2 linked regions of the Struthio camelus genome follow. The protein of the gene in region 2 interacts with the protein of the main gene of each other region in a biochemical or structural test. Links are inferred from orthologs where the notes say so. Each region holds a gene or a part of one and is shown on either strand. Other genes may lie near its edges.

Region 1 (7,498 bases), on a different chromosome or scaffold from region 2:
GCATCATGTGACAACTTTTAACATAGAATATCCATAGTACTTATTGTAAAGTGTAAATACACCTCTCATCTAACCGAAACCTGCCCAGATGATTAAGAATAGATATTACAAAAGCCAGCATCCCCCAAAGCTCCTTTTACAAGAGTGAGGAAAACTCACTGAGAGGGAAAGACAGAACGTGATTTAAGTGTGTTCTGGATTGTTGTTTTTAAAATCTCACATATCTTAATTAACAAAAGAGCTGCTCTTCTAGTACAAGTTAAACACTCCCCCTCTCTCTAAGGCTCTGTTCACAGAGTCTTCTACCAGCATACATGATATTATCTGGCCATTCAGCAAGCAGACAAGAAGACACAGCCCCATGAAGGTAATCCCAAACTCAAGCAAAGGTAGCTCTCACAGGGGCATGTTAACTCAGGTCTTTACTTCACTGAAATAACACAGCTTCCTACCATTTCAGAGCATAGACTCCTTTCACTTATGTCTACCTGAAAAAGGCTGCATAGCCATTCCCTGAGTCACCATTTAAGCCTAGATTTAAACCTCTGTGATTCCTTCAAGTGAGCTTGGAAGCACCTCATTGTATAAACATATAAATGAAGTCATAAGCTACAGAGCTTCAGTACTGGGAACATAAAAATCTTGGGTAAATTATAGTGTCATTTCTCCTTTTATACAGAGTCTGAGGTTATTAAATCCAATGATCCACAGGAGACTTCGGACAACACTAGTATTTTTCTTGTATTTAGAAGGCAAAGCTTGCCTGCTCATAAAAAAAGCTTTTAAACAGCATAACTTTTGAAGCTTAAATATAGTTTCAAGTTTTGAAGAACTGCATCATGTATTTCAAAGAATCCACTACAGCAGCTACCTTATAACATTTTTCTAGATATACAGCAACACCTACTGGCATGTTAAAATAAAAAAAAAAAAAAAAAGCCAGGCTCCAGATTTTGTCTCATTCACCATAGCATTCCAGAACACATTTCTCACCCTGTGAAACAGATCCTAATGATAAGAGCTGAGAAAGCTTGACAGGTACATTTCAGGACTACAGCTTCTCCTACTTGAGATCAAAAAGGAGAGTCACATTTAAGACATTTGTAGGTTGCATGCAAAATCAGTTTTGACAGGCATTTTTAAGCAAGTTTGACGAATAACATTGTTACTAAAATCATAAAAACATGTATTCAAACTGCCCAATAAGATATGGCAACTAACACCACATTTTAACTGATCAATATTGTTAAGTATTTACTGCAGCTTTTGTTCCACTGCCAGATCCAAAAGTACTCTGATTTGCTCTCTAATATTAGCTCTGTACTCTAGTTTGCTCTCTAATGTCTCAGACTTTATGTCTGAGACTTTTTCCATATAAAGCTTTTTCCTATGATGTTTTTGGGGTAATTGTCTAAAGGTCGTCAATCACCATTATTTACTGATAATTTCTCATCATAAAGAGTGTAGGATGGAGCTGTTTACCTCTATTGTAGGGTCATATTCATCCACAAAGTGATTTTGAATTAGCTGTATCGTCAAGGCGCTCTTGCCTACACCACCAGCTCCAACGACAACAAGCTTATATTCTGTCATTTTTTAGCAGACCTGATGACAAAGAAACCAACATTAAGCAGAAAGGGTCAAGCTCCAACAAAAGAGAATGCTGTTACTGCATTTTCATTCACTATCGTATTCCTTTACTATTGCAGGGAAGCAAATTCTCCCTCTTCCAAAAAAAAAAAAAAATCAGAAAAACAAACAAAAAGCCACATGTGCACACACACACTCAAAGGCTAAGAGGGGATGCTACTTTTCAAAAAAAAAAAAAATTCTTAATAACTGTGGCGCATACATGAAGCTGAAAGGCAGCGATTACAAAAAGCTGCCTAAAAAAAAAAAAACCTATAAAGTTACATTAATTTCTGAAAAGTGGTTAAAGAGTATTTTCTGTAGAATAAAGGCTTCATTTTCTGCTCGGTTTCCCTTCTGAAGTTCCACGAATTCTGGCAGACTTCCCTGATTTTTTTTTTTTTTAAATTTTTTTTAAATCGGAACCGACCAGCACTGAGCACCCCTGCCGATCTGTCCCCGCGGCCACCCCAAAGACGGGAACACGAGTACTTTAAAGGCCGGGCCGGGCGGGCTCACCTGACGAGCTGCCCTCCGCGGACGCGTCCCCCCACCGGGGCCGGGTCGGGCCGGGCCGGGCCAGCAGGGGCCGCCCGCCGCCCTCCTGCCCGCCTGGGGGCCGCCCCACCACGGTTCCCCTCTCGGAGCGAGGCGACGCGGCCGAGGCGGCCAAAACTTTCCGCGCCGCCGGCGCACGGGATTTTCAGGATTTTGAGTGGGGGGAAGGAAACGAGTAGGAAAGAGGGAGGGGTTTCGCGGGCGGCGGTTGACTGAGCAGAGGCAGCCGGTGCCGGGGCTCCCGGAGGGCGTTGGCCACCTGTCCCGCCGCCCCCTCCTCCCGCACCGCGGGGAAGGGAAGCGGCGCGGGGGAGGCGCGGGCTGCCGGAGGTGGGGGGGGGGGGGACGCGGGGCGGCGGCGATGCCGGCGGGGGAAGGAAGCGGCGCAGGGCGCAGCCCCCGCGGCGGCGGCGGCGGGACACGCGCGGGGAGGCGGCGCGGCGGCCCCCGCCCGGCTCTGCCCTCGCAGAGGTGGGCGGCGCTGGGGGAGGGGGTCGCGCCGGGGCGAGCATCTCCGGCCGTGGGGGGCGGGGGAGGGGGTGCCCGGCTCCGGTAAACCGCCGCCGACTTCCCCCTGCCCCACCTTGGGGGAAAGCGGGGGGGGGAGGGGGAGGAAGCAGCGAGCGGGGCGGCTAAGGCGGTGAAAGGAGGGGGATAGGCGGTACCTGCCTGGCGCTGTGCGGGCCGCGGGAGCACGCCGGTGTGCCCGTGCCCGTGCCCCTGCCCGCCCCGCCGCGGCGGACCGCTCCGCGTCCCTCTCCGTCCCGGTCTGAAATGGCGGGGGACGGGGAGGGCTGGGGCTGGGAGCTGCCGAGGGAGCCGAGCGCCGAGTGGGTGGATGGATGCGATCGACGCGCTCGGCGCTCCCCCGCCCCTGCGGCAGCCGAGGGAGGAGAAGGGGAAGGGGAGCTCCCCGCCCACTGACTCAGGCGGGGCGGGGAGGCAGGGAGGGAGGGGTGCGGCAACGGTCACTCGCGCGGGTGGCAACGGTCACTCGCGCGGCGGCGGCGACGGAGGAGGGGGGAGGCGCCGCGTAGGGGAGGGAAATAAGCGTAATTTCAGTGTTTGCTGCTTCCTCGCGGCGGGGGCACGCGGACCGTCAGCCTGCCGGGCAGGCAGCGGCGGCCCGGGCCGCCTCCCCAGCCGTCCCAACGGCCGCGGCCCTGCCCTCAGCCCAAAGGCACCCGCTGCCGCATCGCTCGGGGCGTAGGAAGAGGGGCTTTAGTGCCCCCGTAAGGCTTTATACCGGTTCCTAGTCAGGAGGCTGCGCTGGCTGTTTGGCAAGGTGGAGCGTGAGAGGCTCCCTGTGTAAACAAGAAGAATAGGGTTTATCCTTACGGGTCAAGAAAAGGTCACAAAAGCAGAAATGCAGAATTACCGTAAAACTTAAATGCCCATTGCAGTTTTAATAATTTCGGTATTAAGGTTAATAATTTTCACAATTAAACAAAAGGCTTTTATTAATTGCCTGGGTGCTCTGCACAACAGTTAATCAGCGTACTATTAGAGGCAAGGTAACAATTGTACCGCAAAGCCTACTTTCTCATTAAAAGGCCAAAAACTCAGTTCCCTCTAATTGGGTATACTGCATAGGTCATTTCTAAGCTTGTGTTATATGGTCATAAGTGCTATGAAATTTTTTGAAATATTTATGTCATCAGGTCTAAGAATCCAAGCTTATTCCTAGGGTAACTCCAGTGATGTCGACTGGATTACACCAGGGATTAGTTTGGCCAGTTCTGTTTTCCCTCTTAAATTGGAAAGTCAAAAATAAATATATTGTGTCTACACATCTGGTGTTCAAGAGTTTTAATTTCAAAGGCTGGAGCTTTGTTCTCCATAATTGTGTGTGACAGAACTTGCAGCTTCTTTCATTCTCAGTGTGCATCCAAGGCACTGCGCTTTTGGGCAGCATCCATCTGAGCATGTAAGGCATTAACCCTTTGGGACAATGCCATCTAATTTAAAAGCTGTGTTCCTGTGATTAATTCATGCAAATAAGCCAAAGACCCTGTGTTGCTGTTCAATGCTACTCCCTGATGCTCAGGTATGAAGACCCGGGTGGAAAACAAACATGTTTTTGAGCAGCTGTGTGAAAATATCTCTTCAAACAGAGCCTAGGAAAGATCAGAGGAGCTCTTTTCCTTGTATTCTTGAAGCCAGTCTTTTCTGTCACTGAAATCAGTGACACAAGTCCTACGGACTGCTATGGGAGCTTGGAGCTTGTGTAAGGATTCTTATATGCAACAGGAGGCTATATATTGTCATGAAATGCAAAAAAAAAAAAAAAAAAGAATTTGGAAAGCTTTTATCCTCTCCCAGTGATTTGAGTGTTAGTGACCTGGTCCTTTTTGTGTTAAATGCTCTTACTAGATTTTTTTATTAAGGCTGATGAGAAACAAAGTCACAAAAAGGCACATAAGTGTAGCATGCAAAATCATCTCACAAATCAGAATTAAAGCTGAATGATACAGATAGCTCACTTCATAAGCAATCTCACATGAGCAGTTGCCAAAACCAGAAGAAAGCCCCACTTTCAAAGAACGAGTAGCCGGGTGGTAAAACCACAAGCTTGGGATGTGGGAAACCCACATTCCAATCTGTGGTGTGAAACAGGCAAAGAAAGGATTTGAATGCGGATGTTCAGCAACCGAGGTAAATGCCTTGATCAGCTGTTTTAGGATAGCAGGATCTCACTTTTGTGTTATACCCCCTTAGGAAAACTACTTGAAGTGTTGTGGTTCATCATAAGGCAATGGGAAAATGCCTGTGTAACAGGAAAGCTTGCCCAGTTCTGCACTTAGTACTGGTGTTGCACAAACAACTTCAATGGTTTGCTCTGATCTACAGAGCTTTGTATGGGTAGAAGCTGTTCATCCTTAAACCCACACAGTCACAGTTGGAATCAGAAAAGTATCCAGAGAGACTTGGGTGGATCCTTCTCTGTGAAAACTTCAGGTCTTGATTACAGCTTGAATTTCCATGTTTTGTACTATCTCAGTGAAATACAAAAACTATCATTCTGCAAAGAGTTTGAGGGGGAAATGAATTGTTGGGAAGCTGGAAAAAGTTGAATGCAAAGCTTGTTTTTTTGTTGAATGCAGATTTGTTTCTAAATGTCTGTTATTATGAACTTGCTGTTTGTCTTAACTAAATTTCTCTTAGAAGAGATACCTGCTGGGTAAAGTGGTTTGAAAAGAAGCAGAAATAAAAGAGCTGATTGAAATATATAAAGTACCAACCTATACACTGCATTGATATGAAAGCCCTTGAAAAGTCAGCGCAAGTGATGCAAAACCTCCTAGATTTTGCTAGTGTCTCCTATGTGTTACCCACTTCATTTTAGTGATTGTTTCTACAGGGCAATTTGCACAGAGAATGCAGAACATAAGCAAAACAGACACACTTACTCAAATCCCAAAACACTTCAGGGTACTAGAGCTAAATACTTTTATTAAGTTAAAGCATATTCATAAATTCAAAGGCCTCTTCACATTTGCATTAAAATATTCCCGTCTGGATTATCTGGTCCTTCATGGATACTGATCTTCGAAGGCTCTCAGGACAAATCGCTGGTCAGAGCTCCTTATTCTGACAAGATGCTTCCCTTATGATATCAAGCACTAGACCCAAATGCAGGTATAATCCCATCAGCCACATATTCACCCTACTCAGACTTATCTAGTCCTATACTTTATACAATAAAGTCAAAGACATTTTAAATTTCAGAATATATGAGCATTTACCACCTGACTGCCAGGAATCCGGGGTGGTGGTGGAAAAGTGATACACAGCTCCAGCCTCAAGATAAACAATAAGATTTCCCTGTCTGACTATCTCTGTTAACAAGCTGAGACAGAAGTTAATTTTCCTGGTGCTTTTGCTGGCATTTAACTACATGCAAAGCAGATGCAAAGGCAATGGAGAATCACTACAGGGGGAGAAGTGGGTTTGTACAGTTTAAAGATTGCATGCCATTAATTTAAAATATTAGCATAAGAGAATTTTTCTGTCACACACAGAGAGGCCAAGGGTCTGCAGCCATTGCTACCTGTTGTCAGGTATGCTTTGTCGAATAACCACCGTTTATACATTTGGTCCCGGTCAGCACAAGCACGTGATTATATTTCAGTTCATTTAGCCAGAAACCACAATACTGGGGCTAAGGGTGGTTTCATGCTTTTAGGCTAGCAATACAACATTTTATGCCAGATTCAGCATAAAGCCTGCAAATACAAAGTGTTTACATGACGTTTTTTGAACACCTTTGACCCAACTGTGTGAGTTTATATTTTGCTCTAGTACAAGGTCCCATATGTCACCCATGAACAGCATGGGATCCATGGCATTTGGAATATATTAGCCTTCAGTCACTACCTTTTCCTTATCTCCTCCCAAGACAATTTTTAGACTTTTAAGGAAGTCCTACAGACTTAGCTATGCTGCCCTATCCTTGATAAGGCAACCTACAGAAGAATTTTTTTTTTTTTTTTTAAAGTCTTACCTAGAGCAGTGTAAATGCCCTTACCAATTTGTGTCTATTGACACAGCAGAACACAGCCTTATTCCCCAGACTTTTAATTCACTAACTCTAGTCAAGGCAGGGTCTAGAAGAGAGAGATGGTAATGAACTCCATGTTGGGAAGAATACAATGAACTTAAATACAGGAACATTTGTATCCATTGATAGATAGATTGATAAATGTAATTTTAAATGTTATTTTATGTTAAAATCAAAGCAATACTTTTCATGTGTGTTTAATTTTGGTCTTCCATCAAATTTCCTTTGGTGGTATGGCTCTCTTTAGTAATTTTACATTTACAGATTGAAGTCTAGCATATACGGACTCACATGGCATATGAACATAGCATACATAGACGCACACCTTATGTGAACATTTTTTTCCTTGTTGCTGTCTGCAATTCCTTTTAAAATTAGGTAATGGACCCCAAGAAATCCACAGGCCTTAAACTGAAAATTACTTTCAAATGCTTAGCCATATAAAGTACAAAACAAGGTTCTACTCCTTTAGCTTGAATGGCAGCTAAGCTGCCCTCTACACAGCTTAAACAGGAGACTAGTGCAAGGCCATTCAAATCTTTTTTTTTTTTTTCCATGTAGACTCCAAGGAACCAGGCTTAATATATTTTTCTTCAATAACAGTAGATTTGGCTTGAAAGTAATGCGTTAAGATACAGCATGTTACCGGTATTCATAAATGGTTTGACTTTTGGTTTAATTCAGCTGTCTCTGACTTTTTATTTTGAATATGTTTCTCTGCTAAAAATGGGGTGGAGGAACGGTTCAGCT
Region 2 (7,678 bases):
CATCGGAAGAAAAGGCAGCCCAGTAAGTTGACGCACCTCCTAGTTCATGCTGATTTCTGTATGCTTTGCTGATGCAAATACTGTGCATGATCATAAGAAACTTCTCATCTTCACCAAGATAGAAAAAAAAAAATGCCTGTGCAGAACTGATTCTTCCCCAAGGGACTGATAGCAACAGTGAAGAACTTGCCATCTGGAACAAAGCACCAGAATTCTCCCTAACTTCTCAGCACCACTCACTTCCAGTCTTTTCTTATCCAAAATCTCATCTGCCTTAGAAGCAAACAAGTCTGTCATCTCAGTGCAATATCCCACCAGAAGTGCCACATGTTTTCAGAGGAAAAGCTGGCATATTGTTTTCAGTTCCATCATAGGACTTCACAGAAAAACCCTGCTTTTTTCCTCAAAGCTTGTAGCAACATCAGAAGGCCTGTGGCATATTGGAAAATGCTCACTTGCCAAATCCAAAGATCACTTAGCATCCTCGCAATCAAGCAGGTGATCAGTTTATGCATCCTCAAACATTCCGAGTCACCAGCTTTTTAATGTATACTTATGTGAACATGAGCCAGTGAATTGCAAAGGTCTACAATGCTCATCAATAAGCTAGGCTTCGCAAAGCTCTAGTTATGTGTTTAAAACACTTGGAATAGGAAAACATCTCTACGGAAGTGAAAAGTGAGTGACTGGGATGTTACAAAAGGGACCAAGGAGAGAGTGATGCCGTTACTTACCGCGCATTGCCATCATATCCTGCAAAGATCCACAGCTTGTCGCTATACACTGTTGCACCATGAGCTGACCTCGCAACTGGCAATCTGCAATTGAGGAGATTTAAAAATAATTAAAAAAAAAAATCTTAACTGACCAGGAAAGGTGCTATAAGGATCTGCATCATAGCTAAAACACACATTTCACAAGAATAAAAGCTCCCTATATTAAATGCCTTCAAGCTAGGAAATTGCTACTGTCATACACTGTCAAAGCACACAAGAAGAAGCCCTTGTCCAGGGCTGCAGAACTTTACACTCTGCTTCCTTCATGAGAAAAAATTATCTCAAAAAACCAAAAAAAATCCAATGAATTCCTTGCCAATCTTCAAACGTTCTTAAGTATTTTTTGAAAGCTGGCTAAATTGTAGAGGACAATATCATTGTCATTATGGCGAAGTGGCAATTTACATGCGATAAAATAATCCTACGTGTATTTTCACCTACTAAGAAGGTGGAATGCATAAATGAGATCAGGGTCAGAGCTCACAATATATTTTTGGGATCGTTTAGTCATAGCATTCATGAGATACAGTGCCACAATAAAAAATCAATCCTATGATTTCTTCTCCCTAATTTGTGTTGTTTTTACCAAATCAATCAAGAAGTGCTGTACAAAACTGTGACGCCACAAGTCCAGGAGACATAACGTTAGCTTGTTTGAGAAGGTAGTGGTCATTTATGCAGTATGCAGACCTGCAGCTGCGGGGAAAAGCACAGCTTTTAAATGTGCTGAATTTTTAAATGTTCTTATTGATTCTTTACAATCAATGTAAAGGACTGTGCACAGTCCTAGCACTTTAATACTAACAGTGTAACTATTTGTAACTATGTGCTACTGTAAGTACTTGCTGAGTAACACCCAAGTCCCCTTGAAGAGCGGGGCAATGATGCCAGCTCCTTACCTGCCTTCAGTCTTCCACTCTGTCCATTGTCCAGTTGCAAATTTATATTCAAAAAGATCGTTTTTATTCTTCAAGTTGGAATTGGAATAAATGTCTCCAGTATAGCCACCTGGGCAATAACAATTTTATTAGACTATTTCAAGAGAGCATATATACTTGTAGTCAATATATTAGAAGAAATTTAAGTTTACGTCACTCAAACAAAAGTTATTTGACTGCTGGAACGCTAAACATGGGAGGCTTGTCCTCCAACCTTACTTCTATCCCTAAAGAAATGCTACGGCACTGAGCTTCAAGTTTTCTTTACCTTAGACAAAAGAGTAAAGCTATTTCAAAGCTAAGGTCCAAATCACAGTCAACCACGAAAAACACCAGCTTTCCTATTGAATGAGATCCTCTTGACGCTCTGTAGGAAACACCTTGCTCTGTTTTAAGAGAGGACAGACACATCTATCGTCCCAAGGGCACGCAGCTGTAACCTGCCGCTGTCTTACCAAACACAAACATGCTGCTCCCATAGACCACAGCCGAATGGTGGTATCGCGGTGCTGGCGGCGTCCCCGTGGTAAAAGCCCTGTGCAACAGTTAGAACAGTGGCAATCAAACAACACTGTCGCGCTTCGGGCATTCAAAGCTGCTGTGCGGGTTCAACGCGGAAACAGGCGTTAAGAGTTATTCTACCGGTCGCGAGGGGGCATTTTCACTCTTTTTGGTTTAACTACGTGACCTAAGATCTGGTGCTAGACTAAGAGTGGTAAATAAAAGCTGCATGCTGGGGCCGGGGGGCTCGCCCTCCGCGAGGGGCTGTGCAGAGCCCCCAGCCGTTACACCCAGCATAACGGCGCCGCGGGGGGACGAGGCGTCTCGCAGCCGCGCGGGGCGGCAGAGGGCCGGGGCGCAGCGCGGCCCACCTGCACCAGGAGCAGTCCTTCACGTCGAAGCGCAGCAGGTCGTTCAGCATCGTCTTCCTGCGGGAGGGACGGGAGAGGCGGCTGAGGGGGGGGGGGGCGGCGCGGCGGCCCCGGCGGCCCCGCTCCCCTCGGCCCCGCCGCGGCCTTACCCGTTGTCGCCGCCGAAGACGTAGATGGCGTCCCGGTAGGCCACCACGGTGTGCTTGCTGCGCCTGCGGGCGGCAGAGAGCGGCGGTCAGGAGCCGCCGGGACCCACCACCACCCCCCGCCGCCGCCGCCGCCGCCGCCGCTCACCGGGCCCCCACGAACTCGTCGCAGGGCGGGAGGCGGCGCCACCGGTGCACCGTCTCGAAGGGCCCGAAGTTGAGGGTGAGGTACTCGACGCTGTCCGAGCAGCTGTGGTCGAAGTCCACGCTCGGCGCCACCTTGGAGCGCCCCGCGCCGCCCGACGGCGCCCCGGCCGCCGCCATGGCCCGCGCCAGCCCCGCCGCCGCGCACCAACCGGCGAGCCCGCCCGCCGCGGGACTACAGCTCCCGGCGTGCCCCGCGACTACAGCGCCCGGCTTGGCTCGTCCTCCCGCCGCGGGACTACAGCTCCCGGCGTGCCCCGCGACTACAGCGCCCGGCTTGGCTCGTCCTCCCGCCGCGGGACTACAGCTCCCGGCGTGCCCCGCGACTACAGCGCCCGGCTTGGCTCGTCCTCCCGCCGCGGGACTACAGCTCCCGGCGTGCCCCGCGACTACAGCGCCCGGCTTGGCTCTACCGCCCGCCCCGCGGCTACAGCGCCTGGCACGGCCGTTCCCTCCGCCGCGGGACTACAGCTCCCGGCGTGCCCCGCTCCGGGGCGGGGGGCGCACCTAGGCAGCACGTAGCGGCGGGTTCAAGTCCCACGCCCGCAGGACCAAGGGTGGGCAGGTGGGTGGACCCGCAGCGCTCCAGCCTGCTCCTGGCACGGCAGGGAAGGAGCCGCACGCACCTTGCCAGCTTCTCAAGGGGTCCCGAAAGTCATTTTCCTCATTCAGTCCAGCAGCCTGGGCTCCACAGGGGCCAGAAGGCCACCCAGGCCTGCTCTGGTGCCCTATAGCAACCCCACGCCGCAGGCGGGATTCATGCGAGGTGGCCGCACGCACAGGCGGCGCAGTCACAGTGCCCAGCTGCTGGCCCAGCTTTGGAGAACAAGGGCCTAAAACACCTTAACCAGCTCTGTGCGCTGCAAGAGTCAAACCCCAAAGAGGCAAAACACCCTTCGAAGCAGGGCGTCAGGCCTGGCCCGGCCCGGGATGCCAGATTGGCGCAGCTGAGGGTGCTCTCCCTCCTCGTTACCAATCTCTGTAAGACTCGGAGGCAAGGCACGCTTATACATTAAAAGATTTTATTAATACAAAAAAATACCAAGAACAATACTCATGAATAGGCGTAAAGTCTCCATCCAGAGTCACAGCTGATTGAGTCACTATTTAAATTATATTCTGTGGCTATCGGACCTTCATGCTATTCTAGCAAGATAAAACCCAGTGTGCAAAAACACAATTGGCATCTCCTCCGCGAGGAGCTTTGACAAGGATGCAAAAGTGCCAGGCACTGATTTCGGAAGTGGCAAAGGCTCATGGATGTCCAGTAGTAGCCTCAGTCCCATCCTTCTTTTTAACTAAGTATAAAAGGGAGCTTGGTTTTCATAACATGGAGTTAGTAACCTTTAGTGAGGGTTAGTTTAGTTTCTTTTCACAGTACACAAGTAAAATGGGCATTCCACATCTCAACACTAGACCTTAGACAGCTTTCCAGACATTTCACCGTATTTCATCCTGAGCAATTACCTCACGCTACTGGCTCAGATTTATTTCAGCAAAGCCGATGACCCTCCAGTCATCACTTGTTTAAAGATATATAGTGTCACATTCTGAGAATTTTTAAAGGGAGGAAGAGAACACAGGGAAAGCAGAAGGCAAAGGAGTAACATCAGTACAGGCACCCATGGGACCACTTAAGGCTCTTTCAACCATCTCCATCATGCACTGTAGCTCTCATCCTTTATTCAGCCTCTCTCCTATGGGAAGCTCAAGTCAGTATATTTCTTGCCTGAAAGCGTCCTGCACGCTGTGAGTTTGCTTGCAGTGGAGCACCCGCTGTAGACAAACTAGGCTGTTCCTGTTCCCCTTGACCCACAACACGCAGACAGGCCCAGGATCATCTCAAAGGCTGCTCCCAAACTGAATTTTAAATCAGCACTCTTGCATAGTGGCACTGCACTTGGTCAGCTCATTCTGCTGGAAGGGGCCCAGGTGGGTGCACATGAACCAAATGCAACAGGAAGGACAGTGCAGAGCACTAGTTCCCAAAGAGCCACCATTTCCCCCCCCCACTCCTTCCCATCTCACTGGTTGCACTCCTGGAAAGAGCAAGCCCTTGATACCTGCAAATCAAAGAGCAGCTTCTAACCAATGCACTGAAGAGCTCCGATAGGAACTCTGTAAGAAACTGCCCATCACTTACTCACGGGACCCTGCAAATCCAAAGAAATCCTTAGATACAACTCAGGATGAGGAATGGTGCTAAGCTGCACCCATTTTTCATGTTTTTGCTTAAACTCGTCATCCAACTTGATGCACCTTAAGGGTGCATAAAGCAAGTACAGTTAAGGCACACGAGTCAACTTCCAACTGAAAGCACATGAACCCTACCAGCCCCTCTCCACAAAGCCCTAACGAGCCAGACAAGTATGTGGTCCATTTCTTACCGATGCCTAAAGCACATCCAGGTGCTTTCAAGTGTTAGGTATCCACTTACCTCAAACAATGAATGACTATTTTCAAGTTCTGCTGTCAGTTCCTGGGGTAAAGTATTTGATAGCCCTTCTTAATTTTGTAACTTGCAATGAAAATTTAGATTTGGTCTTCACTCTTCTGTTCCATTGACTTACAAACTGTTTTCATGCAGTACAGGCCCATTCCGATATTCAGGGGAGGAATGTCAGCTAGCAAACATGGTCCTGTCTCTTCTCTCAGCTGGGACTGGTCACTCAGTTGATCCTTTTGTACAGCTATCAGGCACTGCAGCCATCTATTTCTCAGTTTCCTCATGAGACTGCACTGCTTAGTTTAACTTGTCAGCCCATTTCAATGAAAGCTATGAGACACACGTACCTCGAACAAAATTCCTAGAAGACTTGGCGGGGAGGGGGAGACTAGAGAGGAGACAGAGCCACAGCAGAGCGCACACTGAAGGGAAGGCCATGGCACAAAATTGAATTAGTTTTATACACCAGAGAACCGACAGGGAAGAAAAATTGAGACTCAACTGCATGGAAACTTTCCAGAGCTCATACCTTTAGAATTAGACACAGACTAATCCAAAGCCACAAAAAATAAAATCAGGCTTCATAAATTCTACTTGCCATGGAGTTATTCATAGAAAACTACTGAGAAATCAAAGATGGGACAGATCAATCTACAGGCATGTAGCAAGACGTGTGGGATTCCCTCTATTTCTGCTTGTTCTTAGGCACAACATGAGGGCTTTAGGCATGAGAGGGGAAGCAATGTCAGCTTTAGAATTTAGTGTTATTTTACCATTATCCCACATATGCTAAACAAATTGTGTTGTGCCATCTTTGTTCATTTAAAAAAAGTAATTCATCACCCCCTGCTGGTAAGAAAAGTGAAAAGCCATACGGTAAATTAGACCAGTAAGATGCATACATATTCCAGCTCTTTGGAAGCTTTTAAATACAACTTCAAAGCATTTTATTCCACAAAGGAACAGCAAGTACCTTTCTTAAGAAAGGAAACTCTATAATGGATCACTCTTTCTTTTAAGCAGAAGATGATGTAACCATTACAGGACTCCCTTTCTGTCCAGATGACTCCTGTGAAATACCCTAACAACCTCCAGGTGGCACATATAGGAGATCTCCTAAGGAGAAATATGTCTTAAAAAGCAATTTCGGGAAACAAGTGCAATTTCCTTTCAACTCTGTCTTATAAGAAGGATACCAATGTATATTTTAATAGTTTTATTTTAATTTTCCCCAAGGGGGAACCAAAGGCAGAGAGGTGTTGTGAGATACATCACGCTGTTCTTATGGGTAAATCAATTTGTAAATGTTATTTTACCACTCTATAAAAATACACACAGGAGTGTGAAGGAAGCAAAGTAGATCAGAGTGGCTGTTATGGAGCAAATGCATTAAATATAATCAGATTTTCCCCCTAAAAATTGTGGCTCCTTGTGTTCCATAAAACCAAAGTCTTTAGTAGCCACATGCCACAGGAACAGAAATTAAGTGGTAGCTTCCTTTAAGCATGTGCACACAAAAGCATTAGTAAAGAACTGCTCCCATGGGACTAGAGAGTAGATGTGAGCAACAAAGCTCCATCCACACTAGGAAAGAAGATATGCAGTTATTTTTATTGTCTCAGCTTCCCATCCAAACTCCTGTAAACAGGTTCCATACCATTCAGGCATCTCTGATAAAAGAGTCTATAGTTCTATAAAAAGAAGTCACACTGTAAGATCCAGATATTTACCCTGTATGTGTTATGTGAGCACAAAGAGGAACAACCTTCCAATTTCAAGACACATCCAAGCAATTTGTAAGTGACCTGATTCCTTTCTCTGTCCATCTGTGCTGTGTGAAATTCAGTTTAAGTGCCTCTTGACAGGCAGAGACAGTTTGCTTTTAAAAATATTTAAGGACACATTCTTTTAAGAACTTCCTGGAACATTACTGTGGAAAATGAAAGTGCTCCCTTGGTGAGATTAATGTGCAAAGCTCTACAGACTTCCGTCTTTGCTGCTTGCTTAGTATTCCTTCCCTTAGCAGATTCATGATAAGATGAGGCTCAATACTTCGCAATGAGGCCCATCATCCACCTGTAACAAGCAGGTGGACACTGGAAAATGTTTCATGTTTAATCATAAAACGTGGAATAAGCCAGAAAAATATTGTTCAGATATGATCAGTATGGTCTCTTGATTGGGTTTATATACCAATGGCCTGTAACACTCGCTTTTCATTCTCATTGAGATGGTCTGAAAACATTGCATAGCACGGCTGCTGTGCAAACTGACACAGGAAGTCAGTGAGATAGGC

What was found.
Region 1: the proteins of LZTR1 (region 2) and KRAS form a complex in vitro, tested with the Homo sapiens proteins (2 studies listed by BioGRID, with this or other methods). The link is inferred for Struthio camelus from reciprocal best matches to the Homo sapiens genes LZTR1 and KRAS.

What each region holds. Positions count from the first base shown.
Region 1 is NC_090942.1:76,287,826-76,295,323, forward strand, and holds the start of KRAS (GTPase KRas), read right to left. Parts: upstream 3,033-7,498; 5' UTR 2,853-3,032; intron 1,606-2,852; 5' UTR 1,594-1,605; coding exon 1,483-1,593; intron 1-1,482. UniProt on the Homo sapiens protein: Ras proteins bind GDP/GTP and possess intrinsic GTPase activity. Plays an important role in the regulation of cell proliferation.
Region 2 is NC_090965.1:3,047,772-3,055,449, reverse strand, and holds the start of LZTR1 (leucine-zipper-like transcriptional regulator 1), read right to left. Parts: upstream 3,095-7,678; 5' UTR 3,057-3,094; coding exon 2,881-3,056; intron 2,799-2,880; coding exon 2,736-2,798; intron 2,644-2,735; coding exon 2,587-2,643; intron 2,250-2,586; coding exon 2,170-2,249; intron 1,785-2,169; coding exon 1,676-1,784; intron 819-1,675; coding exon 735-818; intron 1-734. Other genes in the region: IPO9 (importin-9), read right to left, coding at 7,568-7,678. UniProt on the Homo sapiens protein: Substrate-specific adapter of a BCR (BTB-CUL3-RBX1) E3 ubiquitin-protein ligase complex that mediates ubiquitination of Ras (K-Ras/KRAS, N-Ras/NRAS and H-Ras/HRAS).